Xenopus tropicalis: one gene and its partners. The main gene of each other region encodes a partner of the protein of the gene in region 3 in a complex. Links are inferred from orthologs where the notes say so. Each region holds a gene or a part of one and is shown on either strand. Other genes may lie near its edges.

Evidence for each region.
Region 1: the proteins of gnao1 (region 3) and c3ar1 are in contact, whole or in part, in a cryo-EM structure (PDB 8I95), measured with the Homo sapiens proteins. The link is inferred for Xenopus tropicalis from reciprocal best matches to the Homo sapiens genes GNAO1 and C3AR1. Residues at the interface, in NP_066268.1 of Homo sapiens: Ile28, Ala31, Lys32, Asp33, Val34, Asn194, Leu195, Ser264, Asn316, Glu318, Tyr320, Asp341, Ile342, Ile343, Ile344, Ala345, Asn347, Leu348, Arg349, Gly350, Cys351, Gly352, Leu353, Tyr354; in NP_001313404.1 of Homo sapiens: Asn57, Asp119, Arg120, Val123, Val124, Pro127, Ile128, Gln131, Asn132, Arg134, Asn135, Tyr356, Ile359, Arg362, Gly366, Arg367, Phe368, Ser371, Lys374, Thr375, Val378, Leu438.
Region 2: the proteins of gnao1 (region 3) and c5ar1 are in contact, whole or in part, in a cryo-EM structure (PDB 8JZP), measured with the Homo sapiens proteins. The link is inferred for Xenopus tropicalis from reciprocal best matches to the Homo sapiens genes GNAO1 and C5AR1. Residues at the interface, in NP_066268.1 of Homo sapiens: Ala31, Lys32, Lys193, Asn194, Leu195, Glu318, Tyr320, Phe336, Thr340, Asp341, Ile343, Ile344, Ala345, Asn347, Leu348, Arg349, Gly350, Cys351, Gly352, Leu353, Tyr354; in NP_001727.2 of Homo sapiens: Asn71, Phe75, Arg134, Leu137, Val138, Pro141, Ile142, Gln145, Ile225, Thr229, Arg233, Ala234, Thr235, Arg236, Ser237, Lys239, Thr240, Val243, Val244, Ala303, Gln305, Phe307.
Region 4: the proteins of gnao1 (region 3) and galr1 are in contact, whole or in part, in a cryo-EM structure (PDB 7XJJ), measured with the Homo sapiens proteins. The link is inferred for Xenopus tropicalis from reciprocal best matches to the Homo sapiens genes GNAO1 and GALR1. Residues at the interface, in NP_066268.1 of Homo sapiens: Ser264, Asn316, Glu318, Tyr320, Asp337, Asp341, Ile343, Ile344, Ala345, Asn347, Leu348, Arg349, Gly350, Cys351, Gly352, Leu353, Tyr354; in NP_001471.2 of Homo sapiens: Thr70, Arg133, Ala136, Ile137, Ser140, Arg141, His226, Leu227, Leu231, Asn233, Ser235, Lys236, Lys237, Ser238, Ala240, Ser241, Lys244, Thr245, Thr248, Leu306, Ser307, Glu308, Asn309.

Annotation. Positions count from the first base shown.
Region 1 is NC_030683.2:9,128,720-9,131,850, forward strand, and holds the end of c3ar1 (C3a anaphylatoxin chemotactic receptor), read right to left. Parts: intron 2,817-3,131; coding exon 1,722-2,816; 3' UTR 681-1,721; downstream 1-680.
Region 2 is NC_030684.2:76,890,721-76,893,713, forward strand, and holds the end of c5ar1 (C5a anaphylatoxin chemotactic receptor 1), read right to left. Parts: coding exon 2,149-2,993; 3' UTR 719-2,148; downstream 1-718.
Region 3 is NC_030680.2:51,836,292-51,839,268, reverse strand, and holds the end of gnao1 (guanine nucleotide-binding protein G(o) subunit alpha), read left to right. Parts: intron 1-742; coding exon 743-930; 3' UTR 931-2,422; downstream 2,423-2,977. UniProt on the Homo sapiens protein: Guanine nucleotide-binding proteins (G proteins) function as transducers downstream of G protein-coupled receptors (GPCRs) in numerous signaling cascades.
Region 4 is NC_030682.2:98,671,610-98,676,195, forward strand, and holds the start of galr1 (galanin receptor type 1), read right to left. Parts: upstream 3,036-4,586; 5' UTR 2,923-3,035; coding exon 2,251-2,922; intron 1-2,250. UniProt on the Homo sapiens protein: Receptor for the hormone galanin. The activity of this receptor is mediated by G proteins that inhibit adenylate cyclase activity.

The DNA of each region.
Region 1 (3,131 bases), on a different chromosome or scaffold from region 3:
ATTGATCTGTCTCTTGTATTGCTCTGTATAGAGAGGAGTTTGTGAAAAATAGAGGCAGAAAACATTTTTGGCCCCAGACCTTAAGCCAGGACTGTCTGGAAGCCCAAGTTTTAGATGTGGCCCTCAGAGTAATGGCTATAGCCCCCAGCCTGGCCATTGGCTAGATAAACTTATTTCTATGACATAATCAGGGCTAAGAACATTTGGCATATTAAATATGCAGGCAGGGTGCTGTCTTCTCTAGGAAGTTTTCCTCCCAAAGTTTATCATTCTAACCAGGGGTTAGAAAAGGTCCAAAATGGAGCCTGTGCCAGATACAGTACAGTCAGTAAGCTTTGTTGTGGGATGGTTGAAAACAGTGGCATAACTATGGTTCTTTGGTCTCTAGTTACACCACTGGCTAAAAAAAATAAAAGTAATTTGAAATAAACAAAACTGTATCAGCTTCTGCTTACGAGGATGTGTATGTTGCCTTCATAACTAAACTGAGAATCAGAGTTAGAACATACCGGTCCCTGAATACCTGTGACCCCAATGCTCACTGACAGACTGTGGCTGTGACCAGAGTCACCAAAACACTGTAGCTCAGGGAAGGGCACTGTAGCACTAAAGAGCCGCCCGCTTCTTTAGGAACCCAGTTTTGTATTGTATCATCTTTAATGAGAAGCCAACAACAAATGTCTGATTTATGTTTTATTTTCCTCAACGTTTATCACATCAGCAATTTAATAATTGTTAAAATGTTAATCTTGTTATGAGGCAGTTTGTGCCAAGGTGCAAGGGTTTGAGTACTGCCTATTTACTTTATTTGGGAAGTTGTAAAACACTTATCTAAGCCTCTAGGACAGTGGTTGCTGGGCTGCTTTGGTTCAAGTTCTCACTGAGCTGATAAGGTTACAGATACAGGGAAACGTTTAGGGCAGTGGTACATGGGGAGATTAGTCGCGGGGCAATGCCATCCCACTGGCTAGAATGTAAATCTCTGGTGGGATGGCATATGCGCTGCTGCGACGTCCCACAGTCGCCCAAAGTTTCCTCTCAAGACAACTTTGGGCGAGATTGCGGGGAGATTAGTCACTTGCGACAACGAAGATTTGTCACGGGGCGACTAATCTCCCCGTGTACCACTTCCCCTAGGGTGAAGACACACTGGGCTACTAGTAGCTGCTACTTTTTCAAGGCTACTAAACTCCAGAAAATCCCTTGCCACAGACGATACTGCGAATTGCCTCTGCTAAAACACGTAGAGACAGTTATCAGTAAATGATCAACATTGTCTGTGTGTCTTCACCCTTACGCATTAGCAATTAGACCAAATACATATATGGGATGGCAAAAGTGTTCCCCCCCAGTACTCAGTAGAATAGACCTGGGCTGTCAGGGGTAGCAAAAATTTTCCCCAAATCTCACCCTAACTGGCCTTTAGGTAGAGCATACCTTCCTGGTCACTGACGTAGGCCCAACCGTTTGGGAATTGGTTGCTAGGTGTTTGCTGCAAAGAAAAAAAAAATACAAAATGCAGGAAAAATGCTTCATACTATATACAATATATACAATATAAAAGTGAGCCAGCCAATCACTTATCACTTGTATTAAGCTGAGCACAGGCCCATTCTCCTCTGGCATAAAGTGAACCCCACAGAGACTGGCAGAATGACAATATCCATGATTAATGTCATATACTGATTGTTGCTTTTAAAGTGTATGGTCTTTATATTGGCCTATAACATTGAGCTGTAACGGGCACTCTCTCTGCTCTTGCTGCCACCGGTAGTTCTTGTAATTTCCTCAGTAAGTGCACTCTGCAGCAGCCCCCGTATCGACTTGGACATCTTGCTCTTGAAGTCCTTACCCATAAAAACATAAATGATGGGATTGATGCAGCTGTTGCTGTAGGCCAATGCCTGGGACAAGTGGTCGAGACGCGTCAGGGTGGAACTACTGATGTACTCGAGAGCAATTCCGATAACGTGGTAGGGGGTCCACAGCATGCAAAAGGCCAGCACGATAGCAATAACCACCTTGCGTGTCTTTCGGCCTACGTTGGCAAAGCGTCCACTTTGTACCTTCCAGCTGAGTCGGATATAGCAGAAAAGGATAACGAGCAGAGGCAAGAAGAAGCCAAAGATCACTCGGGTTATAGTGATGGCAACGGAAGTTTCATGGCCTGAGGGTTCCACATCCGAATTATCATGAGCAAAATTATTATAAGTATAGTTGCCAAAATCATAATCCTCTTCTAAACCACTATATTCAAAATCTCCCTCCACTTGCTTGTAGGTGTAGCCGCAGTAGGTGTGGTTATTGTAATATGTGATTGTTCGGTACATGAACACGGGGAGGCACAACGTTAGGGACACGAGCCAGATGACCAAGCACAGGAGATAAGCCAGAGGCACGCTGCGGTGATTCTGGGCCCACACTGGCTTGACTACCAGAATATAGCGATCCACGCTTATGGCCACCAGAGTGAAGACGCTGGCAAACATGTTGAGGATAATGATGGAGGGTAACACCTTGCAGGAGATGGAATCGTTTGGCCAGGCGTTATGGAGGATCTCATGAGCCATCGAGAAAGGAAGAGACAAACAGCAGATAAGGTCGGCCACGGCAAGGTTACAAAACCAAACTGTATTCACTGTCCTCCTCATCTTGATACCCGTCACCCAGATAACAAGGATATTCCCAGGCACCCCCACAACGAAGGTAAGAGCCATAACTATTAGGGTCACCATTGACTCTGGGCTGTAGTGCTCCATCTGTGGGGTGCTACTGCCAACGTAGCTCCTATTCACTTCCGGTAACGTGCTGGATACCTGTAACGATATTCTGCGTCACTAAATGTGTCTAACACTAGCAAAGGGAAATGTTACATTATGGGCAGCACTGGGGGGTATTTTTGGGGTTCTGGGCCCTGTCCCTTACTGTAAATGATATTAGAGGTCACTGAGGGGTTCTGTCCCCATATAAAGGCACAAGGCTGCAGGCTGAGTTATACAGGGAACTCTGAGTATCACTCATGTATTATAAGGGATAATGTACCCCCTACTGTAAATGGTAAGGATATTAGCAGTCACTGAGGGGTTCTGTGCCCCCCATATAAAGGCACAAGGCTGCAGGCTGAGTTATAC
Region 2 (2,993 bases), on a different chromosome or scaffold from region 3:
AAACAAAAAGCAATTGATAGAAGAAGAGTGAGATTAAGATCTGTATGTTTTTTTTCTTTAATCAGTATTCCCACAGCTGACTTATGACTAATAATAAATCAGTGAATAATAATTCAGAGGATCTGAATACTTCATTACATAATAAACCTTTGAGGAAAGGGTTTGTAAAGGACTTAAAGGAGAAGGAAAGTCATTTTGGCATTTTACTACCAATAGATTTGCCACATTAGTGCCACCTAGAACAATATATTTATTCTGCAGAAACCATTACCATACCTGAGTAAACAGCTTTAGAAGCTTTCTGCTTTTGCTTAAGATAGCAGCTGCCATATTAGGAAGCTTCCTTCCTGCAGTCTCTAGCTGTTATACCTGAGATCACACATTCCTAAAGAAGGGGGGGAGCAGGAGAGGGGAGGCAAGAGAGGAGAGAACTGTGCAGGCTCTGGCCCCGGGAATTAAGGCTGTTTCTGAGAGAGGAAGTCAGACACTGGAACATCATGTTTGCAAAAAAGAGACAAGAAATACTGTTTCTTTTGATAGAGGACTCAGTGCAGCATTACTGTGCTTATGGCTGTATTTACATAGACCTTTCTGATAAAGCTTACTTAGTTCTTACCTTTCCTTCTCCTTTAAGGAACAATTTATCAAAATTCAAATTTGCTGGGTTTTTTTCGAGAAAAACTGCAGCGAAAAATGCAAACAAGAATATGCTCAAGCATATTCTTAAGAACCACAAATAGTCTGTATTTTGTTCCTTTGATATTTTGTAAATTGGAATGTAAATACATCTGTTTGGTAAGTGGTTTTAGTGGGGAGGTAATACAATATTGTAGTTAGAAGGCAATGTAAGATCTCATTTTATTTTGCATAAAATCCATTTAAGCATTTAGTTAATTACACAGAAATGAAATTATCCCACCCCATACATTCATTAAATTGCATTACTATGGAATTAGCTGATTCATGATGGAGAACCATTGACCAGTTAGTCAGTGCCATAAGGACAATGTCTCGCAGACCTGATGCCAGTGAGCTGCTTCCCAATGGCAAGTGCTGCTGGTAACTTTGGGCCCAGAATCAAACTGCATCCCTGCATTTCCACAGCTTTCCACAGACTTCATGGCAAAATCTGAATAAATTACATGATTTTGTCATCCCATTATATTTTATATTTAGTTGTAAAGTATCCAAACACACAAGAGTTAAAATAAGTCACACAAATACTATTAGATATTTACCTTTTTTACATATATATATTATATATATATATATATATATAAAATGACTAAATTTACTTTTATATACAACTTGTCTCCAGAAACTTAGTGGGAAGCTCATTTAGGATATGATGTGGGGTGAATACATATTATGCTATTGCAGATATTGTTAGTATGGCCTATGTAGGGCCCAGGCCAATTTTGAACCTCAAGCTGAAAAAGTTTGCAATTCACTGACGTAAAGGATCTGAACCGTGTTCACTGTCTGATATTTATTGTTGTCCAGAACATTATGTAAAGTACAATACAGGGCCTGCCCACCCGAGCATCTCCAAAAGCAGAACAATATAAAATCAGTTCTCTCCCTTACAGTGTACAATATTGCAGATTTATTATGACACTGGAGAAGCTTTTCACTTTTGCTTTGGATTGTTTTAAAATTTAGGGCAAGTATGCAGCATCAGACCTGGCTGGGGAGTCACCAGGAGGACTGGGGTGGAGGTATAAATAATTTGCATCAGGTGCGGTGGGAGGGCCTGCGTCAAGTACAGGAGGGGTCCATGACAGCAGTAAGGGGGCCGCAAGGCTCTGGTGGTGGGGCCCTGAGATTGTACCAACCAGTGGGCCCAGGAAATCACAGTCCAACACTGCACATTTGACCCCCTTTCTCTTTTAATAGGAATCAACAGGCAATATACAGCAGGGTTCATTTCTAAGGGATCCAAACTTAAGCAGATTTTTTTTGTTGTATTTTTGCATGTTCAATACAGGACCTAACCTGTTTATGTTATACTTGAGTGACCCCAACAATAAAGGAAATATCTTTCCCACAGACAGAGAATAATCCACCACAGACACTAATCTGATTTCCTCCACACATCTCAAAAAGGATCTGATTTCAAGGTTTGGTTAATGTACTTGATTCTTTACACTACACACATGTATCAGTGTTTTTTGTCTCAGAACTTGATTTTGTCTTCTTGGAATCAAATGACTGACTTTCTTCTTCTGCCAGTACGTTCTTCACTACTGATCTAATGGATTTCCTAAATTTGGATTTCAGGTCTTGCCCTGCTAAAACATAAATTATAGGATTGATGCAACTGTTAATAATTGCAAAGCTAACCAAAATGGGGTCTATTTTCAATGTGTTCTGGTAAAGGTCTGAATTGGATGAATGAGTAGCTATTATAAGACCAGCTATATGGTAAGGGAACCAACAGACAAAGAAGCCAATTATCACTACAGTTACTACTTTCATTGTCTTACCAGATTTGTTATAGCGCTCACTGACTTTCCTAACTAAAACACCATAGCATACAGTGATAACTACAAAGGGAATAATGAAGCCTATTAAAAATCGGAAAATAGCAATAAATTGCTTGACCTTTTCTATATGATCTTTAGAAATATTGTAATGCATTACACAAACATGTTTTTCTACAATGTTTACAACTATTTGCCTAAAGACAAAAGATGGGCTGGTCAAAATAAGAGCCAACAGCCACACTATGGCACATGCCAAATATGCCTTTATCACAGTCCTTTTGTTCTGACACCAAACTGGTTTTGCAACCAGTAACCATCGGTCTATACTTATCACAGTCAGTAAAAGGACACTGGCATACATATTAATCAATAGTAGAGTAGGTATCAGTTTGCAGGTAGCGAGTCCCAATGGCCACTGACCCATGACAATCTCCATTATTGTAAAGGGTACAGAGAGGCAGCACAGTAGATCAGCAATGGCCAGATTCAGAAACCATACTGTGTTGA
Region 3 (2,977 bases):
TGTGTATTGGTGCAATTCTGTGTGTCCAAACAACATGCTCCTGCACTGCCATATGGCTGTCATTGTGTCCATGTTGCCTCTTCTCATCACATTGGTTTAATGGGTAGCACTGCTGCCCAGTCTTGCTGCTGGATTTGGTTAATAGGCACACCCAGAACCCTTTTTCATGCATGTGTTGCTCTCCAAATCCTTTTCCATTTGAATGTGGCTCACGGTTATAAAAGGTTGGGCATGCCTGCTCTAGGGTTTCCCAGCATTAGTAGGCACAAAATTCACAACAGGAGGCAGGATGGATGCAGCAGTGCTATATGCAACAGTGTGACAGTGCTAAATGCAGTTTTGGACACACATACCTTTAATAAATGCCATAACATTGAGCAATTACATTTTTGTGTAACTGTGGTTGCAGTTGTGCCCCAGTATATTTATTGCAAATTCATGTGCACAGACAGGGAATATTTAAAGGCAAAATGAGTTTCCTGTACAAAAAAACAGCAGGGCCTCTGATATAGATCATTTTGAAAATGGAAAATTTGGAAAAAGATGTGCAAAGTGCATCTCCAGCAGCTGTAATGATCACTTCTCTAGTGCTGCTTTACCTCAAGGCTGGTACAGTAGCCAATCATTTGGTGCACTTGATCTTTTGTTAGTGGGGTTTTAGTTACCTTTAGATTTGCTTTTTTCATATTTATTGTCTCACATGTCCTCATTGTTTTTTATGCCTTTTTTGTCTGTTCATTAGGTCCTAACACCTATGAAGATGCTGCTGCTTATATCCAAGCACAATTTGAAAGCAAGAACCGCTCTCCCAATAAGGAGATTTATTGTCACATGACTTGCGCCACAGATACGAATAATATCCAGGTGGTATTCGATGCCGTCACTGACATCATCATTGCCAACAACCTCAGAGGCTGCGGCTTGTACTGATTTTCTCTGTATAGCAATTTATCTTCTGGCGATAAAAAAATGCAACTTGGTAAACAGAAGGCAAAACAAAAATAAACATTTATATATATATAAATATATATATATATATAACCAATCTTTTTAGTTTGTCTCAAAGAGCTGTCAACAGAATAGATTCCTGACAGCCCTTATCCAAAATAATCGAGTTTCCTCATTTTTAAGGATTCTCTGTAGGTCCCAATCTGCCTAACCCTTTCAGTGCTGGAACTTCTGCAACTCATGTAACCCATGACTGTTCTTTCCAGGACTGAAAGATAGTGTAGGACTTATTTGATAAAGGGAATATAATATATTTTAATCTTTTAAGATATGTGTGTTGCGATCAGTTTCACACAAACAGGACCCAAGCGAACCTTCAGGTTTATCTCTTCTGTTCAGCTCTTCGGTTAAAACAAAAAAAAAAAATTCCCCTCCAATTTCTTAACCAGGTAGAAGTGTTTGTGAGACTCGCAGGACAATGTGCTCAGCTTTTGTGGGTGCTGTTGCTGTAAGAGGGTCTGAGAGGGATTCTGGGAGGCCCAGCTAGTCTGAACAACACAATGTAGCGGGCCCCCGTTTTATGATAAAGGTATCAGTGCCAACCCAAACTGCAGAGCAGGGGGCACAGTCTACAGTTTTTAGGGGGTTTCATACCCCGCTGTCCCCTCCTACTCCGCACTACTTTACGGACCCTCAAATTGATGATCTGCAGGTAGCATGACCTTTGGCCTTTGTAAAAACACAGCCTTCCTTAAAGTTGATGTGTAATGTTATCACTGGATTAGTGGCTGCATAGGATGCTGTAAATCTGGTTTAGCTAAGTCTGTACATTTAGAAGAAACAAAACTGTTCTTTTTTTCCCACGTGCTTGTAGCTTAAAGACACCTCCCTTATTCTTATTCTTCTTATTATTCTTACTACCATTTTCTTGCACCAACTTGTAAAGAAGCATCTCCTTTATCCTTTCCAACCCCATCACTGCCAGAGAAGCCAACATGGCCTCCAGCAAAGAAATGGGTTTATATAAATCTGTTTTTTGGGGGGTTTGATTGGGGTTATTTCTGTTGGACTAGGTGGAATAAAATTATCATTTGAATGGAGAAAAAAAAGAATTTTCCAAGATATTTAATGTACAGATCTGATTTCTGATTGGATTCCCTTACTCTGAACTGTGTACCATGCACTCTTTGGATTTGTATAGAAAAAGCACAGCTCTCACTGACCTCCAGCTGCTGAAATAATTCCCCTCTTCAATTTTTGCTCTGAATTCTGTGTATTTCCAAACTGATAGGCTTCTTTACTTTCAATCTTGTTTTACTTTCCTAAGTGAATGCTTTGTGCTGCTTCTCTCCCGCCCCACCCCCCATCCTTTCCATCTTATAGTGAATGGTGTTTTCCTCTCATGTGGGATGTTTGTGCTGAGAAAAAAAACACAAAAAACATCAAAAAAGAAAAAAAAAAGAAAAAAACAAAACAAAAAAAACTAATTTAATCGAATGTAGTGTTTACATTAAATCCACAATTTTCATGACCAAACCTTTGCCATTTCTACTTTGATTAGAACTCAGACTTCTTCACCATTTCACTTGCGAATTGAAGAAGAGCGGTCACAAATGTTAAAGAAAAAAAATGAAAAATCAATCAATAAATGAGCGAGAAATGAAGCTGGAGTGTGTTCTTTGTATTGCCGAGCGCTCAGTTTGGTGCTGCCAGCGACTCTCGTAACTAATGGAAACTCGTGTGTAGCTTAATAAAGAGAATGTTTGTCTGTACTGAGCTGTCTCCAACATTCTGCTTTTTATCAACGTGCGTCACTGTACAAGGAGAATGAACCTGGCTCCCTTTGGGCACAATGAGGTGGCCCTTGTGTCGCTATTGTACAACTGCAGGCTGTAGGTGAAATTGTGCCTGCATCCAGGTTGGAAATCTGCTGCTGCTGCTGCTCTGCATCCTTAGCCCAGAGGCTTTCAGAATTTAGTTTTTAGGTCCCACTTTGCAGTCATTAGAACAGGACTCTCTCTTAGCCTAT
Region 4 (4,586 bases), on a different chromosome or scaffold from region 3:
TGCACTGAGTGTGTGTCCTTATCTGCAGGTTAAGTAAAAAAAACAAAACATAAAGCTACAGGATTCCTTTTACTTAGTTAATAGGAAACTTCATCTTATAATAAGGCCAGTGTTGTGTCATGGGCTCTAACGCCTATACTGAAATTGTTCTCTATTCAGTCCTAGGAGAAAAAAACATTCATCAAACTATTAGATGATTCATCAAATGAAAGAAAGTAGCCAAGAAGAAGCCTGCACCACACTGACCTTGTCAGCTCTTCCGAGAAACAGAACCTGCGCCTATAACTGATGGATGTTAACTTGTATCTTATTTTGTAAGGTCTCCCGTCATTATTTGTTTGGGATGTAGAGAAATGCCATATATCATGAACAGAGCCATTGTCTGGTGAGATAAGGATGGGACTGTGCATCCATTAAATTGTTGCTTGTGTTTTATTGCTGAAGGCTGGCAATTCTAAGCCATGAACTGATAAATACACAGCATAAAACAAGTGCAAATAGGTAAGAGGCACAGCCGGAAGACAAAAGCAAAATTTGGAAACACTGAGCAACAGATCAGCATATATTTATTAAATACATATCCTGACAATTTACAGTTACATATTTTTACAATGATGTTGCCACCTATAATTTTTAACTAGAGACCAATTATGGACTGATACCATACACCCAAAGTACAGCTACAGCAGAACCAGATTTGGACTATTTTATCCAGATAGAGCCAATACTAACTGCTGAATTACCAGTATCAGTATAGAATCAATACTAATTACTTATTTATCTTCTACAAAGATACTGAATACTAACTACAGAGTATTCTATCAAATGGTTTCCATTACTGACCATGAAATAATATGTCCTGAGACAGCAAATACTAACAACGGACCTTATTATCTCCAGACAGGCATTACTAACTACAGAATTATCAATACACAGAAATAACTATATATATGGACTGATAATTCTGAGATAGTCAATAATAATAATAAGTGCCAGTAATAACTACAGACTCAAAATATGGAGACTGGTGTATTAAGAAATTATCATTTAATTTGAATTATAAAGTTGTAACATAACATTATAGAACACAGGACCCTCTATGGACTATTATCCAAGGATATTACTATCATCTCTATTAAAAGTAATTATGGACCACTGTACTTAAAGTGGCCATACACGTTTGGTGAGGTGGCCAAACGAGTGCATCTTTCTCCATATATGCCTACCTAAGGTGGACGATATGGGGCTTATTGAATTGTTTTGCACTAGGGCCAAACAACAGAATTACAATGACAGGTTTAGGAGCCTTCTGAGGGAGAACTGCATCAATTAGCTGAAGCTGACCCCGACCCAATGGGAAAATCAAACCTGCCGATCGACACCTGCCAAATTTTCAGGCACATATCGGTCAAGGGAGCTCATTGGGGCCCATACACAGGCAGATATGGTGGCGAATCAGTTTAAAGGCCTCTAATCGGCGGCTTAAATCTGTCCATGTATAGCCACCTTTAGAGTGCCAACAGTAATTGTTAAATGTTGCTCCCAGAGGCAGCCAATACCTGTTCTAACTTTGCTATATAAAATTCATAGACAATGCATTATGTAAAAAAAGGAGCAAAGTTTTCTACAGGTCAACCAATCAGCAGGTAACATTTACATAACACTTGTTTAAAAGCAAGTTGCTATGAGTTACTGGACCTGGACAAATTTGGTGGCATCCAATACAGATATTAATGCAGTATACCCAAGGACGACCAATAGCAACTATGTACCTTTATATCCGAAGATGCTAAATACAAATTACAGTGCATTATATCCAGTTACAGCCAATAGCAACTATTGTCAATGAATCCTAATATATCAAATTCAATATAGTGAATTACACCCAAGAAAAGCCAATAGTAATTCTGGGCCATTATATTCTAGGATACAAATACAATTATAGTGTATTATACCAAGGGCCAATAAAGAATATATTAGGATATCCATTATAAATGACAGCACATTATATGTAGGATCACCTAATAGTAATATGTATCATTATACTCAAAGAGATACAATACAAAGTACAGTGTATTGTACCCAAGCATACTAACTACATCAGGAGATATATGGTAATAACTATTATTTAGAACTGCTGAATCTCTTACTAGTGTGGCAGAAGCAAATGCTGCCAGTGGTTGTGAGTAAGGAGAGCCACATACCCAGGTGGTCCCACCATGTAAATGAAGCAGTGAGATAATACCTTACCTTGGCATAGCAAAAGGAAATAAGAAGAAGAGGCAGCAGGTATCCAAAGACAAAGGTGCACACCACATAGATCCTTTTCTGCTGGGCATTTGGCCACGATTCCCAACAGAAAGTCTGGTTGTTCTTATAAACCAAACCCTGGTTGTAAGCAACTGGAGAAGCCATGGCAATGGAGAGGATCCAGATGACAATTACTCCCACCAGGGCATTTCTAGACACCCTGATAGCAGATGACCTCCTGGAGTGAACTATGGCCACGTATCTATCCACCGACATGGCAGACAGTGTGAAGATGCTGACCAGCATGGACACGGTGAAGAAGTAATGAATGAACTTGCAGATGAAGGCTCCCAGCACCCAGGTTGGCAGGACATAGACAGTGGATTGGAAAGGGATACAGAAGAGCAGATAAGCCAGGTCTGCGATACTCAAGTTCAGGATGAAGATGTTGGTGGTACTGCGGGGCTTCCCGGGTTTGTTTCTAGCCAGCACCGTTATAACCAAGGAATTACCCAGCACCCCTAGAGCGAATATCATCCCGAACACAACCAGAGTGATAACATTGTCAATGCCAATTCCGAGAAGTGGCTTTACAGCTGATGGCACTTCTGAACTATTTGGGTCCAGCTCAAACCCTTCGCTATCGTTCCGGACATCTGTGTCTTGATCCATCTTCTCTTATCTTGTGCCCACTAGACAATAAGTGTTTGTATCGCTTTAAACTAACTGCGCGTAATTGTGCGCTAGTGGAGCTGCCGTGCGTAACGTTGCCCGGTCCGGTTGTGGGGAGGCAGGTGGCAGCCGCAGCGGGAAGCTAACAAGTGGCAGCGTGTAGGGGCAGCACACACGGTATGAAGTTTGTTGCGACTGTCCATGAGCTGGAATAGAGGAGGGAGAGGAGGAGTGTGCTTAGCTTGTGTGTGTGTGTGAGTGTATATGTGTGTGTGTGTGTATATGTGTGTGTGTGTGCTTGCCCCTCTCTGCAATGCCCTCAGTTAAGCACCTCTTTCTTTCTCCCTGCCTGACGCCTGTTGAACGCGCAGCGAAACTACTTGCGATTTTATGTGCCGTGCCCTGCAACTCCCTCTGTCCAATCAGTCGCAGTCTACTTTGCAATAGATGCAGGCACCGGCGATTTCCAGCGGTGTCATGTACGACTGCCAACATGCTTCATTTCCTCGCAGCAGCCCACGATTATACCATCAATTTGCAGACGGATTTGGCCATTTAATGGAACGTTGCCTTTTACTCTTGTTTCGCTGGAAATCCAGTTGTGGGGGGAGAACAGGAGTCTGGGCTGTTGCTTGTTCATTTATCCAGCCCCACGTTTATAGGTGTGCGATGTACCTGATCTGTATTAGCTAATAACTATATGTATGGATAGCTGCCAAAGTTAAAGGGGATATAAACCCCAAAATAATGTAATGTCAGCACCTTATTAACATATTTTATTGTTTTCTGAAATTGTAATAGCTATTGAAAGCAGTGTCTGTTTGCCCCTTTCTACTCTCTGCATTCGTGGTTCTTACCAAGAGAAGTACAGTTTTACATCAAAATCAGTCATTTTGTTGTGAATCCTTGCTAGAATTTTGCCATGGACCCAGTTTTACTGGGGAAAATACAATCTGTTGATGTAGACATCATTATTATCTGCCTCTAGTCATTTTTTCAGTGGTAGCATAGAGGAAAGAGCATATCTAATAGTGTATAGGTTACTGCAGAGCTGAAATATACATTTACTCCAATTTAATTTTGCCTTTCCATTTATTCCAATGCACTTTGTCTAAAACTTTTCTATGGTTTCCCAAATGACTACACTGCAAGTTTGCTCATCACTGTTGCTGAGAATTTCATAATTCTTTTACTTGGCAACATAGTATTTGGGGATTACATGCCCTTTGCATTTGCTTTAATGTCTTTCCTTGTACATGAGCTTCCAGAAATGTAATATCTTGCATTTCAGACTGCTAACAGGGAGAGGCAGTGTGGTCCATGGCTAGGAAAAGAATGCAGCAGCCAGTTGCCTTATTAACTTGATTTCTCTAACCACAGCCTGGTAGTCACATCTGCCTTTGCTGAAGCATTGCTGTCACGGTCTCACTGTAATGTCACTTTCATTAAATTGCATGTTCTTAGGTTAGAGTCTGGGTGTCAGGGTTTTGCTTATTGTGTGTCATAAAGATGTTTTGCACAGAGATCCACACTGTTAAACTGAAAGCCCTCGCCCTGCAGCAGCCTCAGGGAAGCTCATTTAAAATAAATGAATCAAATTTAATGTGTTATGGGACTGAATTGCAGTAAAAGGCAGAAAATTAGCTTCTACATTGTTTTTTATT